Caenorhabditis elegans: one gene and its partners. The protein of the gene in region 3 purifies or fractionates together with the protein of the main gene of each other region. This does not show direct contact. Each region holds a gene or a part of one and is shown on either strand. Other genes may lie near its edges. The genes, in order: K02F3.2, moma-1, cyc-1 and cox-4.

Region 1 (11,157 bases), on a different chromosome or scaffold from region 3:
TTTTGTTTCAGGAACGCTTCAAAGTTGTCGATTGTGCGATGACTCAAACAAAAAAAGCGGCGACCAAATGCAATGCATATCTGACAGAAGAATGGACTGCTCTTCCAAAAGCCGCAGCAATCACCGTTGGTGGAATGGCCGGATTCGTTTTAGGCCTGAAACGTGGCCCGGTCGGACGTCTCCTCACCACTACCATCGGCTTGGCCACGATGGCCGCCTTTTGTTATCCGATAGAGGCTGTTGACGTGGCAAAGACCGGAAGAGCTCATGCTGAACAAACTTGGTATTCCTTCCAAGAATGTAGGCTTGAAATTTCTGAAAATCAGAGAGAAATAAATAAAATTTTCAGCTCCAACTCCATCTGCCATCGTCAAAACTAACTTGAGCCCACCGAAATAATTGGAAAATAATTGTTTGTGTGTAAAAAATATCCACTCGAATGTCTAGCGGTTTCTTTTTTTGTGTGTGCGCCGAACCCAGTGTTCCTGTAGTAGTGAAATAAAAATGCGATTTTTATGCAAAATTTGAAGAAAAAAAAACTGAGAAAAACAGAAAGGGAGGCACTTTTTGGACAAATTAAGAAAATAAATCTTATGTATATAATATATATATAGAACGGGCGAGGGTGGGGAAGGGAGAGAAAGTCACCCGCAAAAATTTAATCTAGGGGATGGTGAGAAGAGAGGCGCGGCACATTTTTTTGTTGATAAAATTGGAAAATTTATATTGGAACACAGAAATATTTTTACTTTTTTTTTAGGAACTTTTCACTTTCAATCAAAATCAAAATAATTTAAATTTCCAATAAAAACTTCGTCTAAACAACGAAAAAAGAAAAATTTTGTAAATTTTCCGAAAGTTTCAAAAAAGGTGCAGCACATCTCTGGTGAGAAGGCGAGAGGGCAGCGGGGGATCAGCATTATGGGTGGGCATTTTAATTTCAAGAAAATTTTGAATTTTCAGTGGGTGTAAATGTATGGCTATAAATGATTTTAATGTGGCTCGTACATATTTTGGCATATAATCACCCCGCCACTTTTTTTTCGATTTGTGTATTATTTCCCCTCATTTTAATATTATCCATTTTAATAAAACGTGATGTCCATTTTCCATCTTTAGGCTTAGAAATGGTTATTTCCTAAGCCTAAAAATACAAAAACTCCACACGTTTTTATTTGAAAAAGTGGCTGGGTGATTTAGGACTAGTACCTTAAAAAATATTGAATTTCAGAGGTTTTACACATAATTTTTTGAGCCAATTTTCAAGAAATTTCGTGATTTTAAATTCCAGAAAATCGGGCCATAAAATGATGCGTAAAACCTCTGAAATTCAATATTTTTCGAATGTCTATAATGAGAGCGCCGCCAAAATATGTATAAGCCACATTAAAATAATTTTTTAACGATACATTTTCAGATACTGAAAATTCAAAATTTCGTGAAATTAAAATACTCATCCCTGATCAGCATAGTACAGGTAAAATACAGAAGAAGTTCAAAAATAAGACTAGGATCGAACACTTTACCTAAAACAACACACACTGACTACGGGGAATATATAGGACTCTCTACTTGCTCGTTTCGAACTTTGGCAAGAACAATCCGAACTTGTGTTCGATTCCGGAGAATGTAGCTGCCGCCAGCTTGTATCCACCAACGTGATCCGGATTCGTTGACGACTCGTCTTGAATTGTCTTCGTCGTCGCAAGCTCGGAACCAGTCGGCCGGGATCCGGCGAAATCGACGTAGAAGAGGCGCTGGAGAACCTCGTAAGTGAGAAGAGTAACTGCGAATTGAGGACTTGAACGGCACACACGTGCAGCTGTACCCTTCCATAGTGACATTGGACCCTCTTCTTTGATCAGCTTCCGAGCGCAATCTGTAATTTTTTGTCAGAGTAAGTAACTAAGAAACTAGGCAAAAACTGTACCAATGACTCCATTATACGTCGTCTGTCCAGCTCGTGCAGCTACTTGAAGCCTAGTCTTGATAACATCGGCAGGTGTTACTAAACCAGCGGCAGGCACTCCAGCAATAAACGCGGAAGCAAAAAGTGTTCCCGGTGAGTTCATTCCATCTTCATCAGCAGATGCGAGTTTTGCGTGAGCGTATGCCGGGAAATAGATTGCTGAGAACGGAATATCCCGAAGGAAGCACGCACGGGATCCTTTGTAGAGTCCAAGGAAACCGAGTTCTGAATTAAAAGTTTGAGTATTATGCGATTTCTTGTGTGTCTTTATTGCCAGAAGAAAAGGCACCACGTTTTAAAAATCTAGTCGAAAACGAGATCTTCGAAAAGAAGATCTAGGATTTGGCACCGCCAGATCCCGAAAACGTAGATTTTGTTTTGGTAGATCTTCTTTTCGTAGATTTTGTTTGCAACTAGATCTCGAAAACGTGGTGCGTCAGAGAATGCACCATGCTGCACCTTTAAGAACCGTGAATACTCCGATCTTCTTTCCCGCTTGTTGTACTTCTCCGGCAGTTTGTAATCGAATTTTAACAATTTCCAGGGGATTTGTGAACACAACTTGGCACATTCCTCCGGTTCCTCCGGCGATAATTTCTCCATAAAGTGGAATTTTTCCGTCTTTAGTGAATTTATCTCTCATATAATCGTTCATTGTCAATTTGATAGCTTTTTCTGGTGCAACACCAACAATTTGAGGCAAAAGTCCACGATAAAGACCCAAGAGTCCTTCGAACTTCACGACTTTCTTGAAGCAATCCAGAGAGTTTTTATACATTACTTCTCCGACGAATGAGCCAGATGTACGTTGATTTTGCATTCGTGTCTTCACAAGATCAATCGGATACACTGCAGTCGCTCCACATGCTCCGGCTACTGATCCTAATAAGAAACGGTACGCGGATTCGAGGAACTGCAATATGAAATTTTTAGGAATTTAAATATAGGTAGTTGTAAACAAATTTCCGGCGCCAAAAAATTCTTACCGCAGTTCCAACACCTCTGTCATCTTTATGGTGCACAGCTTTGATGTTGATAAGTCGATCCATTTGTGAAACACGCTTCAGACGTTCAGGATCAATTGCCTGAATGTCCTTTAGACAGAGCGTCTTCCGTCCTGGATGATTCAACTCTGACAAGTGGAACAGGATTTCGACCTGGAAAAAATTGAAAAATCATTTTAAAAAATTACTTTAAAAATAACTTTATTTTTATTATATTTTTTGATTGTTTCAGAAAATCTAAAAATTTTAGATTTTCCGATCTTTCCTGAAAAACATCGAAAATATAAAAATGACATCCTTGCTTATAAAGATGATTCCGTATTTCAATCAATTTTTGGTTTTTTGGGAATATCTGAATTTCCTGCTTACTTCATAAGGAGTAACTTGTGTATAACTTTGAATTGCATGCAGAAACTCTTCTTTCGTCATCTCAATGTCCAAATTTCCACGTGTCGTCGATACGTAGACACGCTTGATAAGTTCCATTTTGGCGAGAAGACTGTTGAAAGCAGCATAGTAAGGGAAGGTCACCTGGAAATTGAAACGTTTTTATTGAATCGAGATTCTGGAGAGGTATTGGCTTCTTGAGGAAGACATGGTGCAGGACAGAACGAAGAAACATACATTGAACATAGGAAACTTAAGAAATCATGCAAAAATCAGCCCGAATATCATAGAATCTCGTGTGTTTTCTTGCTCGCAAAAACTTCAGCCAACAAGTTACCGAACGGGTGTATATCGACTGAAAACCTTTCGAAGATCGAATCGACCAACACATGCGAAATTCTTAAGTAGTTTAAAAAATCATTTTCCGACCACTAGAACAAGTTGAAAAGTTTTGAGATTATAGCTAAAGTGAGTTTAGCTTTTTTCTTTGAAATTTTGAAAAAAGAATGAAAGCAAAAAAAATATTTTTTAACTCTTTTTATTTAAATAATTTTGTCTCGACCACATTTCTAAAAATCCGAATATAAAAAATTGTTCGAAATTGTTTGTACTTTGTTGCATTTCTATTTATGGTTTCTAAGCGGTTTAATTATTACTTACACAATATCGACTAAGAATTTTTATAGCATGCTGATTTTTCGTTTGGCCTACCTACAAATCACGAAACCAAAACAAAGGACACCCAAAAAATGACAGAAAAGAAAACTTACAAATCCACCTCGAGTGTCGGAAAACTGAAAAAGAAGGAAACCACTTCCAAAAAAAATTAGAAAACTTGGGAATCTACGAATGAACATGCTATATCACTCCACTATACAACATTTGGAAAACTCACTTCCAATACTAAGGAATTCTATTTCAAAAAAAAAAGAAAATCAGAATTAGTAAAATAATAATTAAAAACCAGAGCAAAAATCAGAGAAACAATGAGGATTTTACTTTAAAATTATGGGAAACACTCGGAAATCTAGAATATCTTATTTATTGATATTTTTCGAATTTTTCGAAAATCAGTTTCCAGTCATTTTTGAAAAGACCGACGTTTTCATTTATGACAAAATTCAATTTCCATTTTTGAATATACTTCAGAATTTCCAACTTTTTCCGAAAATTTTCAAGCAAAATTAATTTAAATTCAGATGTTTTTTTCTCACCTTGTGTCCACTGGCGCCGCCGCCAGACACCGCAATGAGGTTATGCCGAACGAAATCCGTGAGCAAGTGTCCTTTGACAGTAGTCATTATTTGTTGGAAATCCAGTGATGAGATGGTTCCATTTCCATTTTTATCGTATCTTTTGAATGCCTGGATACCCTGTTCTTCGTAGAAATCATGAAGAAGTTGACAGAATGAATGATAATTCACGTTTCGTTGTTTGTCACTGAAATAATTAAAATTTTTATATGTGGAAATATGGAGCAGTTTTCGAGTTAAAAAAATATATTTACCAACCGGGAAAAGTTTAAAGGTGGAGTACCGAATTCTGAGAAATATTTTTAAATAACTCCAAATTTTCTCCCGACTCCGAATGTCAAAGTGAAAAAATTCAAAAAATTTCCCTTATTTTATATTTTTGCTTGAAATCGCGAATTTCATTTTTGCACCCATGGTATTTTTCAAACGCCGAATTTACGCGCCAGAGAGGTTTTTTTTTTGAATTTTTTCACTTAGATATTCGGATCAGGGGAAGATTTGCCATTTAATAGTCATGTAATAATTTTTCTCAGCTTTCAGTACACCACCATTTGAAGAGAAAATCAAAAATGTTCAGTTCTTCGTTCAAAAAAAGGAAAAAAATTTTGAAAAATTTTGAAAATGTTCTTTCAAAAAAATTAAGAACCCAAAAAACTTTTTTTAAAATTAAAATTTTGATTTTATCGATTTTTATAGTGAATTATATTTTTTTCGCTGCAATTTAAAATTTGAAAATCTGAATAAATATTTTTCAGTGAGATTTCTCAAAAACTTACGCTCCAAAATATCTCTTGATGAATTCCGAACTAAAATCAAAGTCCTGATCATGCAAAGGCTGAGTATGCCGAATCACAGCTTCAAACTCATCACAGCTAATGGTATCCGAAGCGTTTCGATCGAAAAGTTCGAAAGCGGTGAGATAAAGAGCATCCGGGCTGCACAAGAGAGCTTCAAAAGCGCAGAACTCTTCGAATGAGATGTCTCCATCTTTTGTAGTGTCTGCGGCGGAAGCAAGAAGACGAACAGTCTCCTTATTATAGTTTTCTTCCGTGTAAAGACCTAAGTATCCTCGAATGAAATCCTCTGGGGTCATCAACTTCTTCCCTTTTATTTCTTTAGTCGCGAATCGATCGAAAATCGGACGAAGATGGTCTGGATTCGCTCGTGGAATGGCTGAAAAAAATAAATAACTTAAATATAATTTATTAATTGTAAAATTAAATATTTACATCTTTGACTAATTGCAGTTTCTGCATTGCATTCTGCTTTACGGAACAGTCCCGTGGAGAACACATCGCTTCCGTGTCCGATTCCCAAGTTTTGTAGGAGTTCTCGTCGTTTTGATGACGTCAACAGATGATCGAAAGACATTCACGAGGGCCTGAAAACTAAAAAAATGATTTCAAGGAAATCAAGGAAATCAACGAGAATTTCGCATGTAAATTAATATAAAATAAAAGAGACAAATATGGCTAGCTGCAAACGCGCTCTATTGACAATAATTTTTAGCGCGAAGCTTAAATTTAGATATTGAACTATTTTGCCTAAATCAGATGATAACCAGGGAAACAACATGCGATAAGATGAAAAATGTGATAAAATCGTGTGCTGAGCGTTCTCTAGTACAATAATGTTGACAGACACAGAGAATGAAAACGTGCGTGAAACAAAATTTGATCCCCATGATCTCAATGTTACTCAGACAAATGATATCAGAGATACTTCGCTTCCTTGAAATTTTGAAAACCGGCAATTGCCGAAATTGCCGATTGCCGAAAATTCCCAAGATCGGTAGTTGCCGAAATTGCCGATTGCCGAAAATTTTGACAACCGGCAAATGTCGAAATTGCCGATTGCTGGAAATTTTCGATTGCCGCACACCCCTGGTCCAAACTTAAATTGCCAAAAATATCTAGAAACACAAAATACGAGTAATCAAGAACTGGGGAGGGAAGAACGTAGTGTAGTCTGGTGTAAATGACTACACCTTGATAAAAAAAGGTGTACAAGGAGTTTAGTTGGACGGAAGGGTATAATTTCACCCAAATTTAGATTTCTCACCCGACCAGGGATGTAGATGTAAACTCTAAGGAGGCCAAACTGTCAGGGAAAACGAGATAGGATCTTTGACTTGTTATATTACACACACACACATACACTGTGGAAAAATAGTGCACATGCTGAGGTGCCATCGAGATCCTTAGTTGGACAAAAATTCCTTGAATTTTCTGTTATTTTCCATCAACAACTTGAGTACTATCTGAAACCTTAAGGGCCCCACTACTCAAGAAGTTGCAAAAATTCCAACAAAGCAAAATCCCTAATTGCAAGAAAATAATAATACTACACCAAAACTAGGCCACAAAGTAACATAAGTAAACCGAATAGTCTGTTATCTCATTCTGTCTCTACCTTTCTCCCTCTCCTACCTCCACCCAATATTTACCAACTGGAATGTAAGAAAAAAATGAAGAAAGGGAATAGAAAACATAAAGGCTCCCGTCAACTGCTGCTATGCTCTGATGCTCCCTGCGTGAGAAAAGATATTTCTCTCGTTTTCACTCTTCTCAAGCTCATCTTTTTTTTGGGGAGGGAGAGGCGGCGGTGGACATCTATTTCCGAAGTACATAGGAGGAAAGCCAAGAATTGGGAGGAGATATAGAGGACAAAGAGGAAAAAAATCAACGTGGAATACACGACAACAGGAAAAGTTGATTCACAGGTTTTTTTTGCCAAGACAAGGAACTTGGCGACCTCCCAGACTTGAGGTTTATCACGTAGATAAATTTGAAAGTACTCTAGGCCAAAGTTTTTGTAATTTTGATGAGCTAATTAAAAACTTGAGAGATTCTGGATTTGAATGGATTTGCTATAAAGCCGAACCTTCGTAAAAAGGAAACACTCACTTAAAGGCCAGGCAGTTTTGCGATGACATGCCCCCCGGACTGCCCACACTCTGTGTCGTCTGCGTAATCTATGTTGGTTATGGTCTCTCGTCTCCCCCCAGCCTCAACACAGCAGCCTTCTTCCCATCAACGAACGAACGAGTGCCGCGCGTGTTTTTAGCGTGGTCAACATGAGGAAGACGAAATCAAGAAACTTGGCAAGTTGCAAGAGGAGTCTGATAGGGAGGTTTGAAGTAAACGAGCATATTTGCATTTTAATAAAACTTCGCAAATTTTACTCCAGACTGTTGAGCAGAAATTTTCAATGGTATTCACTGTGAAAGACTTAAGGTAGGCAGGCAGATGGGATCCTAGTACAAAATCCTGAAAATGTGCCTACCTATAGAAGTTTATTTTAGAAAATGAATCATAACATGGTTTTTTTCTGGTCGAGCTGTGATATGGAGAAGAAGAATGAGAATGATCTCCCTGTATAAATATAATAGTTCGACGGTTGTTCAATAGACCTCAAAAAACTTAATGTACAAATCAAATAGATTTATGTTTTTGAACTATTCAATGATATGGAGTCGAAAAAGAAAATTATCAATTATTGGTGAGCACACTTTGCTTATCCATCAATTTGATAGTATTGAAGACTTGCTCACGATCCTTGACGCAATCCAATGGTTTCAGGTTGTTAACGATAATCGAGTAGGCTTCAAATTTTTTGCTATTAAGAAGTTTCACAGCCTCTGGGAATGCTTCTTCAATCTTTGCCGCTTCCGAATCATCCTGAAGAAGAGCTTTTGCTCCACTAACTGCGGACTTGGCATTGTTGAAGATATGGCAAGCCCAGACAACACGGTCAGGGGAGGCATCGGTGTACATTTGAGCTTCGAGCTGTAGGATTTGAATTTTTATGAATAATTAATGTAAACTCACCCCATTGCAATATTCTTGTCCCTTTGGTCCCAATTTGGCAACCTGTTCTTTGTACTTGTTGTACATTGTCTCATATGGACCTGCCAATGCTGGATAGCTCTTCTTCATGATTGCGATGTACTCATCGTAGTTCTTCGGCTCAAACTTGCCTGCGTGATAGTCATTCACCATCTGAACTGCCTGAGTTTTCTGTTCGTCGGTGATGTTATCAAGTGGTTCCAGAACGTAAGAAGGCATGAATTCTTCAAAAAACAATACAACTAGTTTCAACTTGAAAATACAAGTACTCACGTTTGTATTCAGAATAGGCCTTCAAAATTTGATCAAACTTCTCCACAGTGAACACCAAGTTTGTAAAATCCTTCTCGGTCATTTGTTCTTCAGCGGGGCGACCCAAAACGAACACAGCCACTGACACAAGAATTAAGGAGCATGCCCGTAAGGTAAACATCTTTTTGATAATTACTGAAAAAAACAAAATTTGAAAACGAGAATAAATTCAAAGTTGTGAGTGTAAAATTTGATTGACCTCACCTTTTATAGGTGGATGGCAGAACTGTAGGCGGATAATGAAACCAAAAGAGGGTGGAGGGAGATTTCGTCGAACTCAGGGAGGGATTTACTTTTCGTTTGGCACTACTAGTTAGTTGAAGTTTCACCAGTGATAACCAATGAGCAGATTAATCGGTCAAACATTGAAATTTGAAATCACATGAGCATCTTACTGAAGAACTGTATAATGGTAATTGAATGACAGAATTTTTTCCAATGTTTATAAAAAATCTTAAAAATGATTTTACACTAGAAATCTGTAATATTTCAATGCTGTGATGAAAAATATGAAAAATGTCTTGAAACATTTTCAGAACATCGGGGTTATATATTCATTATTTTATTCATTATTTCATTATTTTATTCATTTATTGAGAAGAAAAAATCAATAAAAAGGGGTTTCTAGTTCAACGAGCACCTTGGTCTTTAGATTTTTGTAGGTGGAATTTCAAAGATGTTTAATCGATTTCTGTACAATAACGTTCGAATTATAATACAAATCGAAAGTCCATTACCACACTTATTACTCTGAAAATTTTTCAGTAAATTTTTCAAAACTTTCCAGGCCTGTAAAACTGTTTTAAAAAAATCTGAGAAGGAATTTTTCAGATTTTTTCCAAAAAAAATCCCAAAAAGCTTCCAGAATACTTGTCTTCTTTGAAATAGTCTGAAAACCATAAAAATTTTCAAAAATTATAATTTGGAGCAAGTTTACAAGGCTCTAAAATAGTGAAAAGTGTACTGATAGCAATTTCAGATCGACTTTGTTCCATACTCCTGCTCATTTGCTCGCAGTGCTTCTCTGTCGCAAAAATTGTTGCCGGGGTCTATTTAGAAGGTCTTCTTTCAAATGACATAGGTTCCATCCAAAGGTCCAAGATAAAGTTTAAATACTTCCCTTGCTAGTTTAAACTTGCGAACGTAAGATCCCAATCAACCAACTATATACAAAGTTAATGTATTTTGCAAACGACTATATCTTGGAAATTTTCATAACTTTTGAGAAAGTGTAGCTTTAGCCGGGTGGTTTTCCATTTTAGTCTTCCCCAGTTCTGATCTATGTTTACTAAAATTTACCGTTTTGACATGCATGGATTGAGTAGAAGAAACAATGGAGATAATCCGATTTTAATTGAACACAAAAACTTCCAAATGGGAATTTATTGTTTCATACTCAAAACACATCAAAGTAAGAACGATTTGATCTTTTTTGTTGTAACTTTTACCGAAAGGGTTCAAAGATACCCCTTTAAAAAAAAAAATATAAATTGATATTATGTTCCATATCTCTCAATAAATCTCTTAACCTAGGTAGCTACCATTCCACCTGAAAACAAATTTCACTAGTTTCCCTCACTTTTTGTTGTTTTTTCTCCCTCTTTTCTAAATATCTTATTTTTTCAATGCTGTAAAGTGATATAGTACATAAATGACAGAGACGCCTGATAGAAGATCGAGATGCCAACCAACACCAGCAACACGAGACCTTTTCATTTTAGACGGAACATTTTCGAAAAATACGAAAAATGACTTCCTCTAACAAGATTCTTCTAGTGTTTCTTTTATTCTTTTGTATTCAGGACGTTGCATCTGAAAATGGTCTTGACGTTAGTGCGCTCAGTGGAAAAAGCAAAAAGTTCTTTTTCGATGTGAGTGAATTTGGAAAAATGGTACAATTACACTGTAACGTTTAAGATGACAAAGCAAGTTATGGGAGTTCCATCATTGAAGCCAGAAAACCTGGCAGCCCAAGCGTTCTTCCGTAGTTTCTTGGATAAGTATACAAAGTTGGATGACAAAGTGAAAAATGATATGACACAGCACGTACCAAAGGCGACGAAACTTTTTGATGCAGCTGGTGAGTTAAAAAAAATTTTCGTGCGAAATAGTGCAAAATACGCTAATCCTGAAATTAGTCAATTTCCTATTAAACTCTATGATAGTAGACGGTCTTTTTTTAAAACTATTTTGAAGGAACTTTCAACACGGTTCTGACTTGAAAATTACGGTGAAAGTATTGGCTTGTTGTTGCCAGAACTGACAAACTAATAACTTCGGAACATCACTGCACAGAAAAATCACTAAAATCATATTTAATCTATTATTGGCCTACAATTCCAGCATTTTCAGCAAAAAAATACAACATTGACCCAAGTAGCGCA
Region 2 (5,169 bases), on a different chromosome or scaffold from region 3:
AAATATGTACGAGCCACATTAAAATCATTTATAGCCATACATTTACACCCACTGAAAATTCAAAATTTTCTTGAAATTAAAATGCCCACCCATAATGCTGATCCCCCGCTGCCCTCTCGCCTTCTCACCAGAGATGTGCTGCACCTTTTTTGAAACTTTCGGAAAATTTACAAAATTTTTCTTTTTTCGTTGTTTAGACGAAGTTTTTATTGGAAATTTAAATTATTTTGATTTTGATTGAAAGTGAAAAGTTCCTAAAAAAAAAGTAAAAATATTTCTGTGTTCCAATATAAATTTTCCAATTTTATCAACAAAAAAATGTGCCGCGCCTCTCTTCTCACCATCCCCTAGATTAAATTTTTGCGGGTGACTTTCTCTCCCTTCCCCACCCTCGCCCGTTCTATATATATATTATATACATAAGATTTATTTTCTTAATTTGTCCAAAAAGTGCCTCCCTTTCTGTTTTTCTCAGTTTTTTTTTCTTCAAATTTTGCATAAAAATCGCATTTTTATTTCACTACTACAGGAACACTGGGTTCGGCGCACACACAAAAAAAGAAACCGCTAGACATTCGAGTGGATATTTTTTACACACAAACAATTATTTTCCAATTATTTCGGTGGGCTCAAGTTAGTTTTGACGATGGCAGATGGAGTTGGAGCTGAAAATTTTATTTATTTCTCTCTGATTTTCAGAAATTTCAAGCCTACATTCTTGGAAGGAATACCAAGTTTGTTCAGCATGAGCTCTTCCGGTCTTTGCCACGTCAACAGCCTCTATCGGATAACAAAAGGCGGCCATCGTGGCCAAGCCGATGGTAGTGGTGAGGAGACGTCCGACCGGGCCACGTTTCAGGCCTAAAACGAATCCGGCCATTCCACCAACGGTGATTGCTGCGGCTTTTGGAAGAGCAGTCCATTCTTCTGTCAGATATGCATTGCATTTGGTCGCCGCTTTTTTTGTTTGAGTCATCGCACAATCGACAACTTTGAAGCGTTCCTGAAACAAAAATCGGTGATAAAAATATATTTTTCACAAAATTAGTTTAATTTTTACTTTTACTCAATTTAATGATATTAAAAATTTTCAATTTCCTCTCGAAAATGGATATTTTCAATGTATTTTTTTCTTTTGTGAAACACATTCGGTTTTCACTTGAAAAAACTACAGATATCAAATAATTACTTAAATACAAAAAATTAGCTAAATAAAATAATCCAAACTCTTCTTTTAAAAAAAAACCAATTAAAAACGAAATATAATTTTTTCTCCACATAAAATCGCGTAAAACTCACAGCAACACGATCATACTCCTGCTCACATGCGATACGAATAGTCGCGAATTCTCTTTGAAGAGGAAGTGGCTCTTCTGGAAGGAATTTCTGCTTCAGTGGAGCATTATCTTCAGCATAAATCGGAAGTTGCTCAATCTTAATAGGTTTTGAATCTCCATTATTCGTCGTGTTTTTCGAGGTGACAAGTTGCCAGAATTGTCCAAAAACATTTGTCACTTGTTCACCGGCGTTTGAAATTGTCTCCACAATCGGCTTGTCTTGTGTCATCTGGAAAATCAAGCGGTAAAACAATAAAATAATAAAACAAGAATAAATATTTTAAAATTGATTAGCTTATTATAATTATTAAAAAACCATGAAGAAATAAGTATTCCTACATTTGTGGCGCAAAATATCTCGTAGCGCAGGCTCTGTGTCGATTTACGGAGTTTGTGTTTATTCACGATGCGCCTTTAAACAATTATTTAAAATTGATTTTCTTTGTATTTAATTACCACTTTTTCATAAATCGACACCGACGCCTGCGCTACTATATATTTCGCGCCAGGCTTTCTTGTTTTTTTTTTAAATATTTTCTAACATTTAAACCCCTCTGAGGACGGTTTTAAAATTAAAATAGATAATTAACAGGCAATTAACCATGTCTTTAACCAATCCAAATTACCCTTAAAACACCCAAAATAATTTATTAAAAAAACGAAAATTGGGGAGATCTTTTGCATAACAAAACAGAAGAATAATAAACAAAGGATGTTCAGAATTTGGACAGTTTAGAATGGGGTTTTAAAATGGAACGTCAGTAATGGAAGTTTAAGAACGCGATCTTCTGCCGGCTGGAGAACGAGAGCGGCTGGCACGGCGGAATCTGTTGGGCCCTCCAAGTGGCATATTGTTGGCTCCTGAGCCACGGCCGCCCATTGGAGAACGTCTGCGATGTGGTGGTGGACTGCGGCCTCTGGAATTTGATGAAAATTATCAAAATATACTACTTTTCCTTGATTACTTACCCTCTTCTCATTGGTGACATTCTGTCTCTTGGTGGCGGCGAGCGTCTTCTAAATGGAGAACTTCTACGCTGGAATGGGACAGATTGTCGTCCGATAGTCATTTCGACGTGAACAGCCATTCCATCGATTTGTCCTCCATCCATGTGCTTGATCGACTTTTCGGCGTCTTCCAAATTGTCATATTCAACGTATCCATATCCACGATGAACATGGTTATGGAAGCGATCTGGTGGAAGATCGACATTCTTGATGGCTCCGTAGATCGAGAAAATCTCCTCGAGGTGCGTTTTCAGAACATTTCTGCTCAAATTTTTGATCACTACACGCTTGGCCGGACTGGCTGATCTTGCTGCTGGGCTTCTCCTCGGAGAAGCGCGTCTCCTCTGACGGCTCCCGCTTCTGTCACGACGATCACGACGTGGTGGCGATGGGGATGGACGACGGCGACGTGGTGGTGATGGTGATGGTCGCATTGGGCGATCGCGATCCGCGCGTGCTCCTCTTGGCGGTGAACCACGACGGATTGGAGAACGAGAGCGTCCTCCACGAGCTGGTGGGCGGGTATCACGACGACGTGGTGAGCGAGAACGAGAACGGCCACTGGACGATGAGCTGGAGGAGCGAGATCCTGATGAACTACTTCTGAAATATCGATTATTAAGCTATTGTATGAAAATTGTAAAGCATACCCAGAAGATGACGATCCAGAGCTACTGGACGAGCTGCTTGAAGACGAGCGAGCCCTCTTTTTGGTTTCTTCTTTCTCAACCATACTGAAAAATTATTTCATATACTCGAATAGACATCAACTAAGTAAGAAAATTTTCACCGCGTGGTGTTCGAGCAGAAGAAGAGACAGAATGTTGGCTAAAGCGCTTACTTTTTTGAGTAAATAATTAACCAAAAACAAGAATTACGGATTTTCAAATAAATTTTTAATTGAAAAACAAGAAAAAACCTATAGAAAAACTATAGAATTGAAAATATCGAATCATTTTTCGAAGAGACGCGGGTGAATGATTTACGGTAAACAACGCGCGCGGTGGAATATCGGAGTGTCGTTGCAAAACAAAACACTTTCGTTTTTTTTTTCAATTTCAAAATGGACTCTGCAGAATCTGAACTTTTAGAAGAAGAAGAGCTCCCAGAAATCAAATATATCGACTCTGCAGAATTCCAAAATTTCGATAATAACGCTGATCAGCGTGAAATTCAGTTTCGATGGATGGAAGCATTTGAAACAAAAGGTAATTTTTTCCCAAAAAAGTATTTTAGCACTAAATTCTTTTGCAGAACCAAGATGGTTTAGGCTTCTTGACGAATTCATCACTCCACTTTCTGGAAAACGTGGATATTGTTCTCGAATCGTCGAGAAGTACGCTCGAGTACTTCTTCATCAAGGATTTGAGTTGAGCCAGACGGATGGGCCGCTTCGTGTCGCAGCAATTGCGGCTTCGAGAGATGTGGGACAAGCCGGAAATCTTCCATCAGTATTGAACAATTTATCAGAAGTTACAAGACATCTGAATCTTGCTCAGTATGCCAGCACATCGCTCGCCACTGTAGGACAGAGGAAATTCGCAAATGAAGTCGTCCAGTGAGTGATTTTTTTTAAAATTTTATCTTTTCAATGGAAATTTCTTTCAGAAAAACTGTGAATCAAGAGCGCCTTGGTTGTTTTCACCTGTTCCTCATTGGATACCGCGAAGGACTCGAAAATCTTCTCTCAAATCATCGACACCTGCGAAATTTTCGATATAGTGCAAAAAAACGGCATGACCTTCTGACGGAGCACATTAAGAATATATTTCAAGAGCGAGATTCGTTTATTCAAGCACCAGAAGCTAGCAGCTTCGCACTTCAGACGGTTCTAGAAAACTGGACATTTCCACTTCAAAATGAACAAATTGTACAACTCGCCCATGCGAATACTCTTCAAATGCGCGCTCTTCACGTCAAAGGAGACGGTTTTTATTTTCTAAACGAAGCACTCAATGTGGCTATTGCATTCAACTGGTCCAGCTCCCAGGAAGAAATGGAAGAATTCTATTCAATTTTTACTCCACAAGCGACAAATCCACGTGGAAAACGAATTTTTCAATTTTGGAAAATGATTTCCAAGTACGATAGGAGTAATGGAAATGCACAAGGATTCTTGGTGACTGCTCAGCGATTAGAAGAGGAATCCAAGTCAGATGATATTGGAGCTGGATGTGTGACAGCTGTGGAACTTGCGTGTAAAATTCGCAACCAGTGTGATCAGCATGAAGACTTGTCAGTTTTCCGCTGGATTCCAGAGTTTCATATTTAGCAGGCCCAAAACGAATGCTTGGCAGATCCAAATTTTTCGCTCAATAAACAGCAAATTTACCTCTCTTTTCGTTTTCTCCTTCAATAAATCGAGACAGTCTGTCTGCTTTGGTCAGCTAAACATTTAGACCAAAGTTAGGTATGATAAATATTTAGCAGACCAAAGTTAGGTATGCTAAATATTTAGTAGACCAAAGTTGGGTATGCTAAATATTTAGCAGGCCAAAGTTAGGTATGATAAATATTTAGCAGACCACAGTTAGGTATGCTATATGTTTAGCAGACCAAAGTTGGGTATGCTAAATATTTAGCAGACCAAAATTAGGTATGCTATATATTTAACACACCAAAGTTAGGTATCCTAAATATTTAGCAGACCAAAGTTGGGTATGCTAAATATTTAGTAGACCCAACTCGAATACTTAAATAGCAAATTCTTCGTTAAAAAAACAACAACATTAGCTGAAAATGAGCCAAACCTCAGAGAAATCAATAATAATAATATTAACTGTTTTAGAAGTAAAACCATCATGGATACAATAACCCGTCACCC
Region 3 (7,305 bases):
GGTGAGCTGATGAAGATGTGTATCTGATTGTTAATTAATCAAAATTACAGGCGAGCTAAACCTTGGAGCTAAAAAGAAGAAGAAAACTCCAAAGACAGCCGGCGAAGAAGTAGTTGAAGAGAAAGTTCCAACTCTCGGTAATATATTTTATTACAAAGTTATAAAACTATAATTTTGCACAATACTCTTTCAAAATAAATAATTATGAATTCAGAAATCGGAATTGGAGCTCAAAACTTGATCGATGCAAAAGGGGCATGGCCAGATTACACATACGAAGAAGCTCTCACTCTTGTCTATCAGGTTATGAAAGACAAAAATCCAGACTTTGCTGGAGACAAGAAGAAGTTCGCCATCAAGCTCCCAGAAGTTGCAAGAGCTGGATCAAAGAAGACTGCTTTCTCCAACTTCCTCGAAATTTGCCGGCTTATGAAAAGACAAGACAAACACGTGCTCCAATTTTTGCTCGCGGAATTGGGAACGACTGGATCCATCGACGGAAGTAACTGTTTGATTGTGAAAGGAAGATGGCAACAGAAACAATTTGAAAGTGTCCTCCGGAAATATATCAGTAAAAAATAGAAATTTCCCAAAAATTGTATATTTTCTGTATTTCAGAGGAGTACGTAATGTGCCATACTTGCAAGTCGCCAGAAACACAGCTCACCAAGGATACTCGTCTCTTCTTCCTCCAATGTACTAACTGTGGTTCCAGATGCTCTGTTACAGCAATCAAGAGTGGATTCAAGGCTGTCGTAGGAAAGCGTGCCGCAATTCGCCGAGCCGAAGAAGCTACAGCTGGAAAGTAATATTTTCTAAACTTTACTCGGTTGTTATCCGGCTTTTTATGGGTTGGTACTTCTTTCCATTTTTCCGAAATTCTTGTTTTGCTTTCTCTTTTCCTTGTTTTCCCCGTATTTATTTTTATCCAGTTTCATTTCCTTTCTCATTCGATTCGTGTTTTGAGAATAAATTCGGCATAGTAAGTGTTTCAAATTTATTGAATGATTTGTTCTCACCTTTTTAGGTATTTTCCATGTTCAAGTTTAGTCAAAGGATCCCCAATATTTCAGCACCATATGACTAACCTTATGAGTGCATTGTCAAAACTTTCACAGGCTTTGGATTCCAAAAATATTGGAGAAGTTCTTCTCGCTCTTCAGAATTTCGATGAAGAATTCAGCGCTGAAAAATGTGAAGATGTCTTCGTTAGATGCTTACAAGAAATTATTTCATGGGACTTGACGGTTTCTCTAGAAATATCTGAAACGGTAGTTCGACAAATGATGAATCGATTGGAAAATCAAGCGGTGTTGGAAGAAATGTGTAACTATATAATCAAACAACAATCATCTGTCACTGTGGAAATTGCAGTGGAGATAATGATAGAGTAGGTTTTATTTTATTCAGCTTTTGTTCACTTTTTTTACTATTACAGGCACGGCTGGATTTTAAGAACAGATGATTGTAGAGAAGTCTGGAAACAAATCGAGTCTGCGAAAAATACTGAAAAAATCGAAATTCTCGCAAGAAGAATGACTGCAAATTGTAGAATTCTGAGGTTATCTGGAGCTCCGAAAAGATTTCTTGAAAAATTACTCAAGGATGTTATAATATCGCTCAATGCAAATAAGGTCAACATTCCCATGAAATTTCTAAATGAGCTCGCTATTGTTTCTCCCTTTCATCCTATCCTCGGTAAGAGCAGTTGTAGAATTAAATTTCAATTGAAAAATGCGTATTTCAGTGATCGAAGATTTCAAGAAGGACTCCGAATATTTTTATATTCCACACGTTGTTTCAGAAGAGACCCGATTCCATTTGGAAGTGAAAGAGTTCACAAATTTCTTTCAAATTGAATCAACTTATCACAAAGAACAAGCATGTCAGATGCTTCAAGTGTTTAATCAGATTTACAAACGAATGGAGCTTATCCCTCAATTGGAAGCTCCCGAAATTGATAAAATTGTAGAATTTTGGCTTGCTGCTCTTCGAATATTCAATGGATATGGAATTGGGATGAACGACATAACAGAATCAGCCAAGCTTTTAGAGAAAACAGCTTCTAGATATTCTCTCAAAAGCAGACCTCTGTTTCTGAAGCATTTTCTTAAAAAAATTTCCGAAAAGGTTTGATTTCTGTTGGTGTATTTTTAAAGATTAAAAATTTCTCATTCAGAAAGATACAAATATTGGTTTGGAACCGCAAGTTGTTGCAACCATCATCACAACTTACCAGCGAAATGCATTCGGCCTCAGGTCACCTGAATTTTATGAAGAACTTGGTGAATTTTGGGCACTGTGTTTGAAGATTAAATACGATGACGTTTATTTTGCAACTGTCTACTTCTCTGCTGTGTTCGCACTAGCTCAGGCACAAGCAGTTTTCAAAATTAAAAAAGAGCTCTGTCGTGAAGTTTACCATAAGATTCTTCAACCGATGCACGAGCAGCTTGTCGACTTTGTCAAGCTGAAACAAGTTGAATCCAATAAAGCTACGAGTGAGGAAGAAGTAATGCGCCTGGAGCACCAAAATATCGGCGCAAGCTACTTTTCCATTTTGACATGCACCTACAAAAATGCTGAGGATCGGATTTTGGAGTTTATGAAAGAAAATTAGCCGACGAGTATTTTTGAAACATACTTTCCTTATTTTTTCAATTGGTCTTTCATTTGAATATCTATTTTCTTTGATAAATTAATAAAAAAACTTCTCTTCGCTCTTTTTTTTTATTCCAAAAAGCTGTAATTAAGTTATTTTCAGGAAAGAAAAATTATCTTTAAACTGTTTTTGAGCTTTCTTTTATTCTACGATAAGGTTGCAGACATCGTTATAAAAGTGGATACGCAGGTCTCACAAGAAGTGCGCCAGCACCAGGCGGGCACATTTCTCGATGCTGGCGCGTTTCTAGATGACCGTGCTGTACAAGATTTTCTTTTTCTTTAATTTTTCAGTTGTTTTTTGTTAATTTATTCAATTTCCGGGTTCATTCACGTCAGAATAATTTTACTGGATAGATTTCCAATTCGGATAAATTGAACCTTCAATTTTTAAGCAATTCCGTTGCTGGAGTTGATTTAAATTAGGAAATTGATGAATAAAATTTATGCAATGTTCACACGTTCAATTCTTTTTTAAAACAAATTTAGTGAAATAAATTAAACGAATTTTATAGGTAATCGACGTGGTACGTAATGCAGCGTGCCGTGGTTCAAGGATCTAAAGTAAGTTTTATGTCCTTTCTATTCAAAAACTCCAATTATTATTAGAAGACAATAATTTATGTTGAAATAAACAGTGAATTAATTATCGTATTTTTCAGCGTGGATTGGCGGCCCTTGCCGGAGTCACAGCCGCTTCAGGCATGGGACTCGTTTACGCTTTGGAGAACTCGGTCAGCGCTAGCGGAGACAACGTTCACCCGTACGCTTTACCATGGGCTCACAGCGGACCGTTCTCTTCATTCGACATTGCTTCGTAGGTTCAATTGAGTTTGGATAATGATAAATCGTTCATGTTTCAGTGTACGACGTGGATACGAAGTATACAAGCAAGTGTGCGCAGCTTGCCACTCGATGAAATTCTTGCATTACCGTCATTTCGTTGACACAATCATGACTGAGGTAATTTGAATAAAATAATAACTTCATGCTAATCACGACTTTTTTTTAAAGGAAGAAGCTAAAGCCGAGGCCGCTGACGCTCTTATTAATGATGTTGACGATAAGGGAGCATCCATTCAGCGCCCAGGAATGCTGACCGATAAGTTGCCAAACCCATATCCAAACAAGAAGGCCGCAGCGGCTGCCAACAACGGAGCTGCTCCACCAGATTTGTCATTGATGGCTCTTGCTAGACACGGAGGAGATGATTACGTTTTCTCTCTTCTTACTGGATATCTTGAGGCTCCAGCTGGAGTGAAGGTATTTCGTGCACACAATTGAAAGGAATTAGTGAAACATTTTTCAGGTTGATGACGGAAAAGCTTACAATCCATACTTCCCAGGAGGTATCATCTCTATGCCACAACAATTGTTCGACGAAGGAATTGAGTACAAGGACGGAACACCAGCAACAATGTCTCAACAAGCTAAGGATGTTTCTGCATTCATGCACTGGGCCGCAGAGCCATTCCATGACACCAGAAAGAAGTGGGCTCTTAAGGTAATTCATTTTAGAAAATATTATATACAAGTGAATAAACTTTAATAATTTAGATCGCTGCTCTGATTCCATTTGTGGCTGTTGTGCTGATCTACGGAAAGAGACATATCTGGTCATTCACGAAGTCGCAGAAATTCTTGTTCAAGACGGTCAAGGGAAGAGAGCCACCAAAGGCTCAGTAATCACCAGCTTTCCGCTATTTTTTCATTATCCTCTTCATTCGTCCGCAATTTCCATCAGCGATCATTTGCTCGCAATTTCATAAAATATTGTGAGATTAATCGTTTGTAAATTTAATGAAATTGCGAGTATTTGTAACCCTCCTCTCCTAGTTCATTTTTTCACAGCCTCCATCCCCTCAAAAAAAAAGAACGCGCTCTCCCTCGATCCGACCGTCGTAGTCACCAAAATTTTCAAATTGGGGACGACGTCGGGAGCCGTTTAGAAAAATTTAGTTGTCGCCGTTGTTTGTTAATTGTGAAAATAAAATGGAGAGTTTAGTATGAGTATTTTTCCATTTTCTGAGAGTTTTTGCTGTATTCGAAATAGTCAGACTCCTTTTTAAACTAAAAAGCTCACGAACTTTTTCGATGCATCATTACTTTCTCGAATATTTTTTTTATATAGGAAATCTCTTATCCGTTTTTTTTTCTCTGTAACCACGTTTTTATACCTTCTTTTCTTTTCCAATAAACCAAATAATGGTAAAACGTCGACATTTATTTTTAGTGTGGAGACGAATAAAGTTTTAAATTATAAATCGCATATGGAGATCATGTTTGTAGAATTTGGTTGAAAAATGTTCATTACCGACATAGTTCTATTTTATGAAAAGGCACACTGAGAAAGAGAAACCGGTAATGTCAAAATAGAGACAATCTCAAATTTGGCTATGGGAGTTCTAGTATCACAAGAAGAAACGGAAAATCAAAATTCTAGTAAAAATGCAAATTATTTTAAATTGTTTTCTGCTGTTGCCGTCTGAGCAATTCGGTTATTCTTCGACGCCAAAGATCATGTTTCGATAGATATGCTGTAACATGTCCATATCCTTCCATCATTTCAACAGTTACATTAGGCCATAATTGTTGATATGTTGGTGTCCCTTGATTTCGCAGTACATATTGATCCTGATCAGCCAAGAATACATGGCATAGTGATGTGTCTATTGGTGTTGGATAGAATTCAAGACTTGTGAAGTCATCCATCAAAATTCTCATCATATTCTTGGCTTCTGAATCACCGTTTCTCGCAGTCATCTCTCGCATTTTATCCAGCCAATTTTGATTCGGAATTCTTCGGATTTTATCAACATAGTGAGGATCTTCGAGCTGTTTCTGCAGTAAAGAATAATTAACAGCTGGAGAAATAGCTCCTTCCGTATATGATGGTGATGCTGTCGTCCATGCAAGAATAGGAACTATTGATATTGGACGTTGCGAATTTGATCCAGCAAGTTGAGCCATAAATCCACCCATCGAGACACCAGAAATTGCAAATGGACCATATCCAAGTGTCTCAGACCAATTGAAAAGATGATTACATTCTGCAATTAAAGCGGCACCCATCACAAAAAGATCCGTCACATTTTCAAGAGAAGAACGGAATTGATTCGGTGGTTTTCGATCTCCATAAAATGGATTTTGAATTAAAATAGATCCCACACCATCCTTAAGCATGTCATCAACAAGAAGATAGTGACGTCTGAAATAATAGTGATCTATGATACCAGTTTTGATTTTTTTGCATTTTTTCGAAATTTTTGTGGTCTCTGATAAGAATCATTATTCGATTTATGCATCTATGTAAGATGCGATACTTTTTATCTCAGTTTTTGAGTTTTTTTCTCTTTTTAGATTAAATATGTATTATTCAGACGCAAACTTTTTCGATCTTTGTGACAAAAATACGGTATCCGGTCTCGACACGATGAATTTTGTTAAATGCAAAAAGGTGTGCGCCTTTAAAGGAAACTGTAAGTTAAAAACTCTGCAGCGAGTTTTAAAGTACAAAAAAATTTGTCGTGCCGAGACCAGGTACCGTATTTTTTAAAATAAATTTTCAATTTTCTTACCTAAAATAAGAGTGATCTCCGGTGCCTGCCAAATGTATGCATACGGGGCCTGGTTTCTGAGGAAGATATGCTCTGAAATGTGCTCGACCGACGTTTCCTGGCATATGATTGGGAAAGAGAGTGGCATGAGGACTTGCGAAAAATCCCTCGTATGAAGTTACGCCATTTTTTGAATATTTCTGAGAATTATTTATTATTGAAAAATGTTTTTGAGAAATTAAAATTTACCTTCACAATGTCGATTTTGGGATTAAGTTCTTTCACATAATCCATCACAAGCCTCTTTGACATGACATCTCTGCGATATTTTGCCATTCTAAAATAATAATAACAATAATTAATTATCTATTAGTTTCTCAATTTCTCAATTAAAACAAAACGTACTGTTTAATTACATCCGGATGTCCCCAACTTTTTGTGAATAATTGACTGAGCACAAGAGCCGATCGAAATTTCAGATCCACGTGTTTCGCCCACGACGGCAAGTTCGGAATGAAAGAAGCCATTATTGTATTGGCAAGTCAGTCACCAAATCGACTCAAATTGTTGCAGCAAATTGTGAGAAAATGAGAATCTACAAAAAGAAAGATTTATTTCGGTTTCAGGGATTGGAAAATGTAATCGTAAAAGTTTCAAATTTCGAGGAAAATCTACCAAAAACATTGCCAGTTAAGCAGTTTGTCATTGAAACAGCTAAAGGAAAATTGACGACTATTGTGGAAGAAATGAAAAGAAAAGAGGTATAGTTATTTTTTCAGTAACTTGAGAATATAGTTATTAGTTGAAAAACAAATCGGAATTCAACAAAAAAAATACGGCAACATTTCTCGACGCGACCTAAAACTTTTTGCGCAAAATTTCAGAGTGCTGCAGCATATCGAGACCTGCTACCATATTTTTAAAATCTAAAATTGAAATTATAAAAACTGAGATATTATATTAATATATGAATTATTAAGGAGCCGTACTCTGTTATTATTGCGTGTGATACAGTAATCGAATTCAATGGAGAAATTATTGGAAAACCAACAGATGCCAATGACGCTAAAGAAACTTTGAAAAGGTA
Region 4 (6,541 bases), 5.6 Mb from region 3:
TACAAACTACAGAATCTTGTAGCCTCACCCAAATTTTCTCCCCAAAAATCGATTTTTGTTCTAAAAACCTGAAACTTTCAAAATTTCTTCAAGATTGCTAACTTTCTAGAGTCACTTTGAAACAGTAAGTCGTATTTTTAGACAAAAAAAAGTATTTCTGCCCGAGAAAAATGAGTATTAAATAGTTTTCATATTGGTTGAGGCTCACACTACAAACTACAGAATCTTGTAGCCTCACCCAAATTTTGTAGTTTGTAGTCTCTCAGCCTCAACCAAATGTCAATTTCCGCCTCAAATGTTAATTTTTAAAACATTTTTTTTCTAAAAAACGTTCCAAATTCCAGCTCCAAACGCTTATCTCCTCAATGGAAGAAACACTGAAAACCATTGGCTTCTGCTGGGTCGACAAAACCGGAGAAGTGGTTCAATCCCAAAAAGGCGTCGTCCGAACCAACTGTATCGACTGTCTGGACCGAACGAATCTTGTTCAGGGCCAAATCTCCCTGTTTGTAGTGTTACAGCAGGCTCAACGCCTCGGAATCTTCGGACCGCTGTGCGAACCGCCCGAAGTGCTCGTACAGACGATGCAAACGATGTGGGCTGATAATGGAGATGTGATATCGACGCAATACGCCGGAACCGCCGCGCTGAAGGGAGATGTGACGAGGAATGGAGAGCGGAAGCTGATGGGGGTCATGAAAGATGGATATAATAGTGCATCGAGGTACGGGAAGCTAGAAAAAATGGCGAAAATTCGATTAAAATCGACTTGGTTGAGGCTCACACTACAAACTACAGAATTCTGACAGCCTCAACCAGAAAATTAGTTTTGGGTGAGGCTAACACTACAAACTACACTCTTTGTGAGCCTCACCAAAGTTGATCATAAGTTATTTTTTTCGAATTTTTCGGTAAAAAATCACATTTTTTTCCTTGAATCGAGTATTTTTGAAAGAAAAAATAACAAATTTGGCTGGAAAAATCGATTTTTGTTCTAAAAACCTGAAACTTTAAACTAAAAAAAGTATTTCTGCCCTAAAAAAATAAGCATTAAATAGTTTTCCGAGTTAAAAACACCAGAAAATCACTAGGAATATTGGTTGAGGCTCACACTACAAACTACAGAATCTCGTAGCCTCAACCAAGTCTCTGCCTCAACCAAATATCAATTTCCGCCTCAAATGTTCATTTTCAATACACTTTTTTACAATTCAAGAAAATAAAAAAGCACAAAATTCACACTACAAACTACAGAATCTTGTAGCCTCACCCAAATTTTGTAGTTTGTAGTCTCTCATCCTCAACCGAATGTCAATTTCCGCCTCAAATGTTCATTTTCAATACATTTTTTCTAATTCAAAAACATTCTCACACTACAAACTACACAATTTTCCGTTTTCAGATACTACCTAACACACACCAAAGATGCTCAACGCCAAAAAGCCATCAATATAGTGACAGGACAAACGGAAGCCGACGAAAATGCAGAAGAAGAGGAAAATGAGAAGGAAGAAGAAGAGAATATCAGTCGAATGGTGACTGAAACCATACAATTCCTGGTTCCAACCCAGCAAACTGTCATCGCTGGCTGGGGATTGATTAACGCATTCCAAAGTAGCGATGAAATCGACACAGTCGTCATATTAACCCGCTCCAATTTGTATATTGTAACCTATGAAATCGATGGAGAAAAGATGACTGATGTGCAAATCGTTGCGCTGGAAGATATCAATACTATTCAAACAGGAACATCTGGAAATAATCGACAATGTGCTCGACTGGAAACTCTCGAAGGTGTATTCATTTGGAGGCCATCTACTGTTCGGTTATTTAATAATACTGCAATCCGTCTGAAATCCTTGGAAGAAGCCAATGAGTATATTTCGTCGGTCGCTGAGCAGATTCAGGTTGGCAGGAATATGCTGACTGGCGCTGAAGGTTCAGTTGTTCCGGTGGCAAAGATTACGGTTTGGGTGGCTTGAGATTTTCAAAATCTAGAATTAGAAGTTTCAGATCCCTCAAATGTCGGTTCATAGAAAATCGATGGCTGCGATGGGTGCACTGTTCGGGAAGATCAAGCGAGTTGGGAAGCCATCCAGTCTATCGAAAAGTGCTTCCACAATTTCAACTGCTCAACTTCCAGAAACCGATGGAAACGAATCGGACGCATCGCAAAAATCGGATCACTTAATGACGAAAATCCTGAAAATGTCACAATTTAAATCAGATTCTCCCCAACCCGAACCATTTTCCTCGCTACTACCCGCTATCTCCGAGTGTCAAACTAAAATTTCACTTTTGTAAAGAAATAAATAAATTATTGCCTCCTGGATTTAACAGCAACATTCAATCTATTTATTTCTGGTTTACAGGGCAGCCCATCTCTCAAGAAGCCGAACCACTTGGAAAATTTGAAGAAAAAATTGGGGGAGACGAAAGAATTGGTCAGTGCGTTCGACCGCTAGGAGAGATTTACAGCTTATCTAGGTTTCAGATGAGGGTTGGGGCGATGAAGAAGAAGGTAAGCTTGAATGTTTGACGAGAGAGTGATGGGGCGGGGGGAGCGACGACAACCAAGAGAGAATTATAAAAACGAGAAAGAAGCTACAAAAAAATTTTATTTTATTTCTGCTGAATCTCTATATTTTACTTCCACTTCTTGTTCTCGTAATCGTAGTGTGTCGGTGCACCGAGGAATTGTCCCTTCTCGAGCACAAGCGCACGCTCAACCTGAGCCTCCTTGTACTCGTTCTGGAAGGTTGGCGGCAGTTCTGGGTACACGCAGACGTTGAGAAGAACAGCATAATAGGTGCAAAGTCCGAGCACGGAGAGGATAACGGCGGAGATCACCTTCCAGTATCCGGTTGGAGCCTCGAATTCGGACAGCGTTTGACGGAAGCTGTAGCGGTACACTGAAAACTTAGCAACATTTTCAAGTTTGTCGAGGAAAATTGAATACTAACAGAGCTTCTTCTCCTCAGCAGACAAGTTCTTCCAGTCGGCTTGCTCCTTGGCGCGAATTGGGGCAATCACACTGTCCTCCTTGCGGAATCGAATAGCTGGATACCAGTAGTCGAGACGATCTTGGTAGATCTGAAAAATAAATTAATTAAATTTAAAATTTATAAAATAAACAAGGCGTACGTTATCTCCATTTGCTCCGTATCCGACGAGCTCGCGTCCAGCGGCCTTATCGGGTCCCCAGTAGAATTCCTGTCCTCCGGACAGACGGGCGGTGGTGTGCACTGCGCGGAGAGCCAAACGTGGCAGCATCATTTGACGAGCCAACATACCTGAAATAAATAACTGGTTTATGGGTTGAAAATGCAGGAAAAACCAAAAAACAAAAGGTAAATCCGGCGTCAGTGTGGAGAAATGAAAAAAACATACTCAAATGAACTATTTTCATAATAAAAATGAATTTCTAAAGTAATTTCTAAAGTGGCCGACGGAAAACACCGATGGAAACGTGGAAGAGGATAGTTTTAGTCAGAAACGAACAAACAACAGAACACACGGGTGCAATATATTAATAATCAAAAACCGTTCTCTCTTCGTGTTTTAAGGATTAAACTAGCCGGAATACGAACAAACGATGGAAATATGTGGTTCCTTTTAATTTTTGCATAAAACTTGGCAAAATCTCCAGAAAAATCAATAAATTGGCAATGTAACAACGGCTCGCCGTTGCGGGCTGTTCACTCCGTAAATCGTGTTGACTGAGTAATCAACGTTTTACACGCGTTCAAGTACGCAGCCAATTGAGTCCAATAGAGCGCTCTTGCTTTTTGAATCTTTTGGGTGAAAAATTGAGAAAAACTTTTTATAAAAAAATTTATAAGCTCAGGCTTTGGATTTTCGCTTTTTGCGTCGAAAAATCGCCTCTACGGTGCTGGAATTAATAATCGGTGGGATTTTCGCAGGAAATTCTCTGGAAAAATCGATAAATTGGCGATTTTGGCCCAAAAACTCTGAAAAACGCTGGATTTTTCTGAAAAAGGGCTTTAAATTTGTCAAGATGAGCGGAAGAATCTGAAAAATCGATTAAAAAACTCAAGAAACTGGAAAAAAATCGAAAAAATCAGTTTTATTGCGTTTTTAAATGAGTTTTCCCAAAAAAATTGGAAAAAATACGATTTTTCATTGAAAAATTGAATAAAAATACAAAAATTAGGGGGTTTCTCATTATTTTTCCGAAAAATCGATAAAACGTTGCCAAAAAGCTTCAAAAAGCAGATTTTTAGCAGTTTTTCACTGAAAATCCTCAAAAATCCCGACTTTTCCGAGAAAAAACAACGAAAATTCGATAATTTCTTCCCAAAACCCTTTTTTTCTAATTTCTCACAGAAAATTCTCAAAATTTAAAAATCTACCTATTTTAAACAATTTTTCTGAAAAATTTGAGAAATTTCATGTTTTTCGCCAAAAAAAAGCCATTTTTTTACGAAAAAGTGCTCTAAAAAATCGATTTTTCAGCGAAAAATCAAAAAAAAAACAGCTGTTTTTATTGATTTTTTTTCCCTAATAATTGTAAAAAATACCAAAAAACCCTCAAAAATCACGAATTTAGCTTCCAGATCGGTGGCCAATTGACGAATATCAACAAATATCAGGATTATTATATATCCGCAAAGAAAATCAATATTCCCGGCGACGAAATTCTCGAGATTTCGTCCGGTAGAGCGCACTCGCTGATTCGAACCAATTTGGGCGTTTTTGCGATTGGTGATAATAATTTTGGGCAATGTGGACGGAATCCTGAGAATATGGATTATGTTGTGGGCTCTGAAGGTACAATATTTGGGATTTTTAGCTAAAACTAAGGCTTTTAGGCTTTTAGAGCAGCTTTTAGACCCCAAAAAAGCTGAAAATCGAGCTCAGCGTAGTTTTTTACCCCAACACTGCAACTTTTTCCTCACGAGGGACGAGGAAAAGTGGTTTCTAGGCCATGGCCGAGGGGCCGACAAGTTTCAGCGGCCATTTATCTTGCTTTTTTTCCGCGTGTTTTCTTTCGTTTTTCACAGCTTTTTCCCGTTTTTTCTTAATAAAACTGATAAATAAATATTTTTTGCAGATGCTAAAACAATTTCCAAGTAAAAAAATCATGTATTCAGTGGGCAAGCAGCGGTGAAAGTGGGCATTGTAATATGATGGATTACGGGAATACAAAACCTAAACTTTTTCTGAAACATGATACATATGCTGCTTAAATGCTGAGACTACCTGATTTTCATAACGAGACCGCTGAAAAAGTCGAGATTTTCGCACAAAAAGTTGAATTTTGGAAACCTCAAAACTTTTTCAGCGGTCTCGTTATGAAAATCAGGTAATGTCAGCATCTAAGCATCATATGTATCATGTTTGGGAAAAAGTTTGGGTTTTGTATTCCCGTAATCCATCATATTGCATTGACCACTTTCACGCTGCTTGCCGACTGAAAACATAATTTTTTTACTTGGAAATTGTTTTAGCATCTGCAAAAAGTATTTATTTATCAGTTTTAATAAGAAAAAACGGGAAAAAACTTTTCCTCGTCCCTCGTGAGGAAAAAGTTGCAGTGTACTAATTCAGATCTTCGTCAGACTCGAAATTTTGATGAAACGTGCGGATATCGAGTAATACTACAATCCAACGGATAAAAAATCGAAGAAGTGTTCCTCTATTCGAATTTTGAAGCAGTTGAAGTAGATATTGAAATCTTTTACTATACAACGAGAAAATTGTGAAATCAATTGATGTGGGAGATCTGAAGATCGGAAAAATTTAAGATTATACAATTAAAAAAACGAGGAATGAAAAAATGATAATTTTAAGAGGGGCAAATTAATCGAGCTTCTACTCTTGAAAATATCCGCCCCGATCTCCGCGTCCACCGCGTCCTCCGCGTCCAATACGCATCCCATCAGGCCCACGAGGCTCATCTCGATTGAGAATCAAGATCTCGGCTTCAACGTCGGCTCTACGGAACTCGTTAACCTCGAGATTGGGCTGCAGCAGTACTTGAAATACTCGGGCTGCATTTTCCTGTGGAGTCCTATCATCGATAAGTGTGCAATGGATTGTCAAAGAAGCCAGATTGGGGAACTCTCGGAGGGGAATGATTCGATCGATTGAGTGGATTGTAGTTCAGTGTCAATGTCGTCAACGATGGGCAGCTGGTCCTAAGTTGCTCAAAATCCGCTTCTCTAAGATTGTTTGAGGAAGCATCGAGAACTTGAACACGCTCAAAAACATTCATTCCTCGGAATGTTGCGATTTTGACGTTCGAAATTTCCAGTGACTAAAAATACCATGTTTGATTTAACGGTGCCTAGACAACTCACTGTGATGTTTGGATGACCGGGTAAGTCTTGTATGTTGCCAGATACAGCATTCCGAATAACCAGGTCTTCGACATTTTCGAAGTTGAACCCATTTTGTTCGTAGAGCTTTTTTTGCTCTAAGTAACGATCGAGAATCGACTCCATCAGAAGGACTGACGTGGTCTCTAAAAGACTGGTAGATTTTTATGCGATCTCTTAACAAACAATCGTATTTTTCA

Evidence for each region.
Region 1: the proteins of cyc-1 (region 3) and K02F3.2 fractionate together in Caenorhabditis elegans (co-fractionation; one large-scale study listed by BioGRID). This does not show direct contact.
Region 2: the proteins of cyc-1 (region 3) and moma-1 fractionate together in Caenorhabditis elegans (co-fractionation; one large-scale study listed by BioGRID). This does not show direct contact.
Region 4: the proteins of cyc-1 (region 3) and cox-4 fractionate together in Caenorhabditis elegans (co-fractionation; one large-scale study listed by BioGRID). This does not show direct contact.

Annotation. Positions count from the first base shown.
Region 1 is NC_003281.10:840,688-851,844, reverse strand, and holds K02F3.2 (putative calcium-binding mitochondrial carrier K02F3.2), read right to left. Parts: upstream 5,985-11,157; coding exon 5,843-5,984; intron 5,787-5,842; coding exon 5,390-5,786; intron 4,801-5,389; coding exon 4,575-4,800; intron 4,155-4,574; coding exon 4,131-4,154; intron 3,505-4,130; coding exon 3,343-3,504; intron 3,127-3,342; coding exon 2,956-3,126; intron 2,883-2,955; coding exon 2,429-2,882; intron 2,195-2,428; coding exon 1,931-2,194; intron 1,880-1,930; coding exon 1,569-1,879; 3' UTR 501-1,568; downstream 1-500. Other genes in the region: moma-1 (MICOS complex subunit MIC27), read left to right, coding at 12-300, 350-399; far-8 (Fatty Acid/Retinol binding protein), read right to left, coding at 8,105-8,401, 8,444-8,685, 8,735-8,894; K02F3.9 (DUF148 domain-containing protein), read left to right, coding at 10,522-10,644, 10,691-10,853, 11,126-11,157. UniProt on the Caenorhabditis elegans protein: Mitochondrial and calcium-binding carrier that catalyzes the calcium-dependent exchange of cytoplasmic glutamate with mitochondrial aspartate across the mitochondrial inner membrane.
Region 2 is NC_003281.10:850,831-855,999, forward strand, and holds moma-1 (MICOS complex subunit MIC27), read right to left. Parts: upstream 1,567-5,169; coding exon 1,300-1,566; intron 1,004-1,299; coding exon 715-1,003; intron 666-714; coding exon 616-665; 3' UTR 501-615; downstream 1-500. Other genes in the region: rnp-5 (RRM domain-containing protein), read right to left, coding at 2,110-2,254, 2,307-2,948, 2,996-3,078; tag-51 (uncharacterized protein), read left to right, coding at 3,409-3,553, 3,600-3,903, 3,954-4,580, 5,134-5,169. UniProt on the Caenorhabditis elegans protein: Sustains mitochondrial morphology probably through maintaining cristae morphology. May act as a component of the MICOS complex, a large protein complex of the mitochondria.
Region 3 is NC_003279.8:8,020,294-8,027,598, reverse strand, and holds cyc-1 (Cytochrome c domain-containing protein), read left to right. Parts: upstream 1-3,176; 5' UTR 3,177-3,195; coding exon 3,196-3,225; intron 3,226-3,323; coding exon 3,324-3,478; intron 3,479-3,524; coding exon 3,525-3,624; intron 3,625-3,675; coding exon 3,676-3,924; intron 3,925-3,970; coding exon 3,971-4,165; intron 4,166-4,218; coding exon 4,219-4,347; 3' UTR 4,348-4,925; downstream 4,926-7,305. Other genes in the region: eif-2beta (Eukaryotic translation initiation factor 2 subunit 2), read left to right, coding at 1-1, 51-137, 215-571, 619-809; C54G4.9 (RAP domain-containing protein), read left to right, coding at 1,080-1,390, 1,439-1,698, 1,748-2,130, 2,180-2,620; C54G4.7 (AB hydrolase-1 domain-containing protein), read right to left, coding at 5,122-5,869, 6,240-6,418, 6,468-6,555, 6,624-6,745; dod-18 (Nucleotide PPase), read left to right, coding at 6,732-6,797, 6,845-6,979, 7,199-7,302.
Region 4 is NC_003279.8:13,655,836-13,662,376, forward strand, and holds cox-4 (Cytochrome c oxidase subunit 4), read right to left. Parts: upstream 3,294-6,541; 5' UTR 3,277-3,293; coding exon 3,145-3,276; intron 3,094-3,144; coding exon 2,964-3,093; intron 2,913-2,963; coding exon 2,647-2,912; 3' UTR 2,336-2,646; downstream 1-2,335. Other genes in the region: sac-2 (SAC domain-containing protein), read left to right, coding at 345-724, 1,403-1,967, 2,014-2,304; W09C5.12 (Leucine Rich repeat-containing domain protein), read right to left, coding at 6,038-6,280, 6,324-6,467.